2 linked regions of the Ovis aries genome follow. The protein of the gene in region 2 purifies or fractionates together with the protein of the main gene of each other region. This does not show direct contact. Links are inferred from orthologs where the notes say so. Each region holds a gene or a part of one and is shown on either strand. Other genes may lie near its edges.

Evidence for each region.
Region 1: the proteins of UBR5 (region 2) and CEP78 purify together in Homo sapiens (affinity purification with western blotting; 3 studies listed by BioGRID, with this or other methods). This does not show direct contact. The link is inferred for Ovis aries from reciprocal best matches to the Homo sapiens genes UBR5 and CEP78.

What each region holds. Positions count from the first base shown.
Region 1 is NC_056055.1:58,675,896-58,679,547, forward strand, and holds part of CEP78 (centrosomal protein of 78 kDa), read right to left. Parts: intron 3,441-3,652; coding exon 3,268-3,440; intron 3,177-3,267; coding exon 3,104-3,176; intron 2,052-3,103; coding exon 1,948-2,051; intron 224-1,947; coding exon 49-223; intron 1-48. UniProt on the Homo sapiens protein: Centriole wall protein that localizes to mature centrioles and regulates centriole and cilia biogenesis. Involved in centrosome duplication: required for efficient PLK4 centrosomal localization and PLK4-induced overduplication of centrioles.
Region 2 is NC_056062.1:74,932,495-74,936,246, forward strand, and holds the start of UBR5 (E3 ubiquitin-protein ligase UBR5), read left to right. Parts: upstream 1-1,330; 5' UTR 1,331-1,850; coding exon 1,851-1,912; intron 1,913-3,752. UniProt on the Homo sapiens protein: E3 ubiquitin-protein ligase involved in different protein quality control pathways in the cytoplasm and nucleus. Mainly acts as a ubiquitin chain elongator that extends pre-ubiquitinated substrates.

The DNA.
Region 1 (3,652 bases), on a different chromosome or scaffold from region 2:
AAGCACATCTAGTATGAAAAATTCAATATATTCAATTTTAGAATTTACCTCTAAGCCATAAATCCTCACTAAGAGATTCTGCAAAACCACTTGCACCAAGGTCACCAATGAGCGTGTTGCAGTTCAGAGTGATGCGCCTCAAACCAGCCATGCAGTCAAGATCAGGTCTCCTGTAACGAAGACTCTCAGCCCAGGTTTCTTCATGCCTTCTGATGGTCTGATACTTCACAGATTGAATGGGATGAAAGTAAGTCACTTGAATGAAGAAACAGCGTATGCCTACTGAGTATAGCTTATTATGTCAGAGATTTATACACATGCACGTGCCAAGCACATATGACAGGAGAAATTAAACAGTCAATTCTGCTTTAGGGATCCAGTGACCCAGACTCAAGTCTGTCAGTGATCAGACTCTAGCCACTGGATGACTGTTTTTCATTAGCTATATAAAGTTTGACAATTCATTTACAGTCTATGAATTTTATTTCCCTTATCTGCCAACCCAGGGAATTAGTTCTAAATTGCGTCATTGCTGAGGCTCTAAATTATATCATTCTGTCCTCCAGTAGTCTCCAAACATTTGACTGGGCACCCTCTAAGAAAAAATTTTAACATGCATCTTATTTGTTAACAAGTTACATACATGAAGTTCTATACATATAGTTTGTGTACACTGTAAACGACACAGATTTTTTAAATGATACAAAAGTAAACGGGGTCTAATATCTTCTTCTAACTTCTAAGGTATTACTTTAAAAACTATATTTACAAAATGGATCTTACATACTGCTTTAGGTATACACACCAACTTTAAAGGCCTGGACTATGCAAAGTCAGTTTGATGTGCCTTGATGGGCCGAGAATTTGACATTTAACCACTAGCATTATCTTAAAGACATTCAGTTCTTTATATTCATAAAATACATTTTGTTAACAAGGAACATTGACTTTAAAGGAAAAAATCTTATTACATTCTTGAACAAGACTCAAAGTTCCTCTGATACTCTAAAAGAAAAATCATTAGTGTCATTTTTCTATTAACAATAACTACACAGTACTTATTATGTGCCAGGCACTATTTATCCAAATGAGTTCATTTAAACTTCATAACAAAGCACAGAGGTTAAGCAATTTGCCCATGGTCATCAGCTATGAAACTGGGAGAGATGAAATCTGAACCTAGGACATTTGGCTTCAGCACACAAGCTCACCACCATTTTCTATCCCCGGGATCAATGGATTTGCCCTGTATAGGTGCAAAGCATTTTTTAATTTTTATAATTTCAATTAAAAAACTTTCAGCTTTGTGGGCCATACAGTTTCTGTGGCAACTACTTATCACCATGGGTGTAAGGTGAAAGCAGCCTTAGTTACCATGCAAACAATGGGTGTGGCTATGTTCCAAAAAGCTTTCTTTACAAAATCAAGGGATGGGCTGGATTTGGCCCCCCAGCCATAGTTTACCTATCCTTGATCTGTACCATCAAAGTATTAAAAAGGCTTCATGTCAAATTATTCAAAAATTTTAGGCCTAACCATTATAAAGTTGTTAAGGCAGTATTTTTAAAACTACATTTAGAGAGCTCTGAAGTAGTAATTTTTATTAGTTTATAGACTATAGCAGCTAATAAGTACTTCATTTATTTAAGTCTTGAAGACTATAATGACAGTTTCTTCACAGTATTACAGTAAATGTTTTCAATAACTAAAAAGACATAAAAGTATTTAAATATTATTATGTAGTATATATTAAATATCTTATTTCTAAGATTAAGTGGACTATCTTTACTAAATGAAGAATCTCAAACTGAAAACTGGTCATATTCTTTCAACAAAACTAAAGCTGCACTCACATGTATCAAAAGACAAAAATCACTGCCATTTGTACCAAGAAATTAATGTGCTACAATCACATATGTTTTCATGAAAGTTTAAACATAAAATCACCTTTAAGATCTTGGCCATGTGATCTGCTCCCTGCCATGTCAGATTACACCCCGTGAAGTTTATTGTCTTAAGAGTGACAGAGTTCTTTATACCTTGACAAACAACTAAAAGAAAAAAAAACAAAAACAAAAGAAAACCACACACACAATAAGATGAAGAGCCTATATATTGGTCAGACTTGACTTATTTGCTTTTCTTGAGTCAACTGGAGGTTTACAGCGAGATTCTTAAAATCACTGTCGCCAATCTTCCCCAATAGCTGTATTCTACAATAAGTCAGCGATGAAGTGCTACAGTGTTCCAGTTTACAGCAATAGTTTAATTCTACTTAAATACTAAAACTGAATACACTGAATACTGCAAACTTTATTCCTAACCACTCAGTTAAGTATTATATACCTTTTAACACACATGAGAAAAAGAGAAAAACCTAAAAAGCATAAGCCTCTTACTTCTATTTCCAATGATATATCCCAATTTTCAATCAACAATTTAAATGTCAGCTATGAACTCAGAATCTTATTAGATACTATGCAATATAATACCGTAATATAAGACAGACAATCTCAAACTCTGTTCCCTGAAATTGAAATGCAGCCCACCTTAGCCCTCCAGGCCAGTACTGGGCACAGTGAACACCCACGAATGCTTCAGGACCCCAACAGTCACCTTCTTTGTGATTACCTCCATGATACACCCCTGCCAACACTACTGAGCTTGCTCACCTTTTAAATGCTCTTACAGTACTTTGAATATATCTCCTACTTTAACACATTCCTCAGTGCATTATAATTATTACTGAAGATAGATGTCCTAACAATTTAAAGGTACAGATATTTTGTTGCTCTTGACATCTTGCTATTTCCCTTCCCACAATATTTCTTAAAAAGAAACCACAAAAATATAAACACACACAAAAAACAGAAAATACAAAATGTGTGGTTTGGGGCTTAACGCAAACTGAAGTAAAATCAGTGCTCAGAGTATCCAGCATGACAGACTTCCATGGTACAAATGAGAACGGACCACGGTATGAGCAGGTACGGGAAACAATCCAGGCGGGGACAGCACCAAGAAAAGGTAGACAGGAATCAACATGGTGTGCAGTGAATCACAAGACCAGTCTGATGGGAAGAAACTCAAGACTGACACTCACTTTCTAAACCTCCATCTCCAATCGGACAATTCGCAAGAGACAGGTGCACCAGAGTGGCCGATTTATTCAATCCCTTTAATGAGGAAAAAAAGTTCAAAATTTTATTGGTTTAGTTTTCCCCCAAAGCAACAATCAAATGTTGGCAGGACTCATGGAAGGCTTACCTTTGTCAACATCGTTAAGTCTCTCTCTCTCAGAACTAGCCCGTTTAGCTCCAGGTTCCTTAGCGCACCTGATGCACTTAAACAGCATTTAAGAGCTTTACACAACTGGAAGGTCACATCTTTATTTCTTATCGCAGGCACACGACTTCTGTAAACTTTATTTCTGTCAGAAGCTAAAGCAAAATTATTGTAAAATGAGTGACTTCAACCATACATTTTATCATCATTAAAAAGCATCCACTCTGGGCTAAGCATTAGAAAAGACTCCTGCCCTTTAAACCCTCTTTAAGTGTGGACATATGTAAACTCAAAACTTCAATCACATGAGATAAGGAAACATAATCTATGTGTACAGAGGTTCCTAAGGAAGCAAAAACTTATATCT
Region 2 (3,752 bases):
GATAGGTTAAATGATATAATCAAGTCCACACAATTAATAATTATTAGAAACGGCACAAATTCAAGTCCGTCTGGCTCCAAAACTAACAGTGTCCATTGGTTTCCTCTGCTTCCCTGTGGCCCCCACGAATTTCTAATAGAGGCTTTGAAATCACTTTTTAGTCTAATCTGGGCCATTTTGGAGCTGGTGACCTACAAAAGTGTTCCATTATCTGTCTCAAGGGGTACCTACTCTATCCTGATTTATAAATAGTCATATATTTTGTTCAAAAGAACTTCTAAGCAAGTGCGTATGTGTAATGCAGTAACAGAAGAAAAGTGATATTTAAAATTAAGAACGTTTCACAGGACCCTTAATTTAACGGAACATACTGGAGAAAGAGGCTTCGTGTTTTCACTTTTTTTTTCTTGAAAGAAGTACTTGATTTTTTTGAAGGGGCCAGAGAAGCCTTTGAGAAAAAAATCTATTAACTGGTTCCCTAGAAAAAGGCAGATCTATTTAAGAATTAGCCCTTATGATCCCACTGATCATAAGCTGAAGAACGAAACATCTTCGATGAAACTGATATTTCATCTTTCATTTAAAAGAATTAAAAATTCATGAGTCATTTAAATCAGGAAATCGGTGGAAATTTCCACATTTTGTCTTTGTGTGGATACGTGATGGTGGCGGTTGCGTGGGGGTGGGGGGTGGGATTGGGGAAATCAGGGTGATAAAAAGAAGTTGCTGCAAAGTCAGCTCTATAATCCTACGATTGGACCTTCTGGAAAGGCCCTTACATAACTACCTTACTTCTCCAATAAAACGCTGTCCGTTTCTTGCCCCTTAACAGATTTCTACACTTCCACTTTAAATATAACTGCGGATGTGAAGGACGAGAAACAACAACAGAAAACCCCTAAGGGTCCGCAAAATAATTAGGGCTGCCCCAAGAGAAATCAGAGCGCGAGACTGGAGGAGCCCCTGTTCCCTCCCACCACCACCGCGCCGGGGACACACACTTAGCCTCTCTCCCGGACTCCCCGCCCCAGCCGGCTCGCCCCTCCGCCTCATCTGTCCCGAACACGTGCTCTCCGGAACACTCACTCGGGAGCGAGCCCACCCCCCCGGGGGGGGGCCGGGCTCGGGAGCCGAACGGCCCAATCGGCGCGCGCCTTACAGCGCCGTGGCTGAGCCGCCCAATCGGCAGGGCCTCGCCGCCCGTTTCCCGGAGCCCCGCCCCCTCGCGGCCGTGCCCCACGCCCGCCGGTCTCCTCCCTCCTCCTCCTCCTCCCGTTCGCCCCTCCCCCTCCGCTCGGGAGCGGAGCCTGCGAGACGGAGAAACTGGGGCAGAAGTGAAGATGGCGGCGGCGGTGCTGGTGGTGGCGGCGGCGGCTTCTTCTCGCCAGTGACGCGCCGAGCGGGCTCATTTCCCTCCCCACCTCCCTAGTCCGGACCCCGTCCGCCGCCGGGACCACACACCGGCCCCACAGCCCGCAGCCCGTCCCCCTCCCCTCCTCAGTCGGGCCCCTCTCTCCCGACGTCCGGCTGCCGGTGGCGGCGGCAGCGGCGGCGCGCCCCGGGTCCCGGCCGCCGGCCTCGCACTCCTGCGCCCTGTCGCTGAGGGAGCGGGGTGGCGTGTTGATCCGCCCTCCTGCCCGCCCCGCCGGACCGCCGCGCCTCGGACACACGCCCGGCAGGGAGGCGGCGGCGGCGGCGGCGGCGGCCCCTGCGCATTTGCTTCTCTCATTTGGGGACCGGGAGGCGGCGGCGGCTGTGGCTGTGGGTTTTGACGAGGGGAAGGGGTTCGGGGGTGGGGGGAGCCGAGCGGGAGGGGGCCGTCCTCGAGAGGACGACGAGAAGGAAGCACCATGACGTCCATCCATTTCGTGGTTCACCCGCTGCCGGGCACCGAGGACCAGCTCAATGACAGGTAATAGGGCCGGCGGGCGGGCCGGCCGGCGGGCGGCGGGGGGAGGGGCGCCTCCCCGCCCTCCCCTCCCCCACGGGGCCGCGCCGGACCGGCGGCCGGTGGGGAGGGCGGGGGTCCTCACTGCCCCCCGGCTAGGCCCCTTCCGGGGCAAACTTCTGGTCCCAAGGACCGGGGCCGCGGGGTCGGGGGGGTGTGGGGGGAAGCGAGCTGTGGACGGGGAAGAGCACTGCACCCTCTAACGCCCCCTGGTCCCCCCGCCTCCACGGAGGAGCCGCGTTCAACTCGGTGGGGGCGGCGGGTGGGTATCCAGCTCCCGGTGCGGGGAGCTTCATCACCGCCCGGGCCAGGCCCGAGGAATCCATATTAGTCAAAGTTGAATTGAGACAGACAATGCGGATGGGGGATGGTGGAGGCTGAAAAAAAAAAAAAAGAGGGAAGCGGAGGAGCCGGGCGAGGGGCCCCGGGGTAGGCTGGGTTCGCCCGGGCTCCCGGGAGCTGTGTCCGGTGGGGTGGTCGGACCGGCGGGGGCCTGGGGCTCCTGGGGGAAGGGGAGGCGGGGCGGGGTGGGGTCGGGGGACCTGGGTGGGAGAAGCTGATTCCCTGCAGATCGCGGGTGGGGTGGCGGGAGGGAGGAAGCGCCATGATTATTGTTATTATTATTAAATTTGAGCCCCTGCAGTGAGGTTTGCCGGTCCGGGGAGGGGATGAATTTAGGCGAGGGTGGGGGGCGGGGAGGGAAGTGGATTGGGTTCCCTTTGCTCTGTTTTCTCTGGAAACGGTGCTGGCAGCTCCTGTTTCCCAGTCCCTGTGGTGCGAGCTTTTTTGTTTCCTTTTTTTATTCTAATGATAGTGTTTTCCTGAGTTGTAATTTGACAGCTGAAAACCGTGCGTAGAGTCAAAGGAAAACTCTTACGTTTGCAGTTCGCAGTGCTGCTTTTCTTAACACGCTGTAAATTTCTGGGATGGGTTTTGCTATGGGCGGAGGAGGCATTATGATTTTTTTTTTTTGGTCTTTCATAAGGAGGCTGTTTTGACTCCGGATTCCTCCCCTTCCCTCCTCCACCGTTCCCTGCCAGTTTAGGATATTGAATTGCAAGGCCGCATGCTCTCAGGGAACTGAGATAAAGCAGGAAAAGTTCCTTCACTGTTGCAAAACAGAGATTCCGAAAAGGTTGAGGGAAACCTCCATTAGGCAAGGCTGAGAATCTAGGACTCAGATCGAATGATGGGCTAAATGTTTTACAGGGTCAGAAAGTGGGGCATTTGAAGTTTCTATACCAACACTTTCGCTGCTCTCTCTTCCTCATAAATATAGAAGGCCGTCAGGGCCCACGTTTAGAAGTTAGATATGATTTTTGTTAAGTGACCGGGTGACATAAATTGCATGAAGCCCTGTTTGTCATGCACTTCCCTGAGGGAGGAGGAGGCCTAACTTCTGCTGATATACCGGCCTCTGTTTCGGGGAATCTAACTGCCTCAGGTGGGGCGGACAGCCTTTCAATCCGGGAAGCTGGAGGCTTGGTTTCTGGCATTGGGTTCGGATTTGTCTAATCTTTGCTGTTGTAGCCATATTGTATTTCACATGTTTGTAGAACTTTTGGAATACTTTCTCAAAATACTAATCATTTGGAGTGGTCACATAGTTCTTTTAAGTACGAAAATAAGTTTTAAGTCATTTATTTTATAATGCAGTCTTACTCCGATTTTATTTCATTACATATCTTTTGTTAAGACTTTTACATAAGGTTTTTTTTTGGGGGGGGGGGTAAATTTTAGAACCAGGCTAGTAGTGAGGATAGCTGTACTGTCTGTCATTCATAGAATCCAGTTGGCCGTGCTT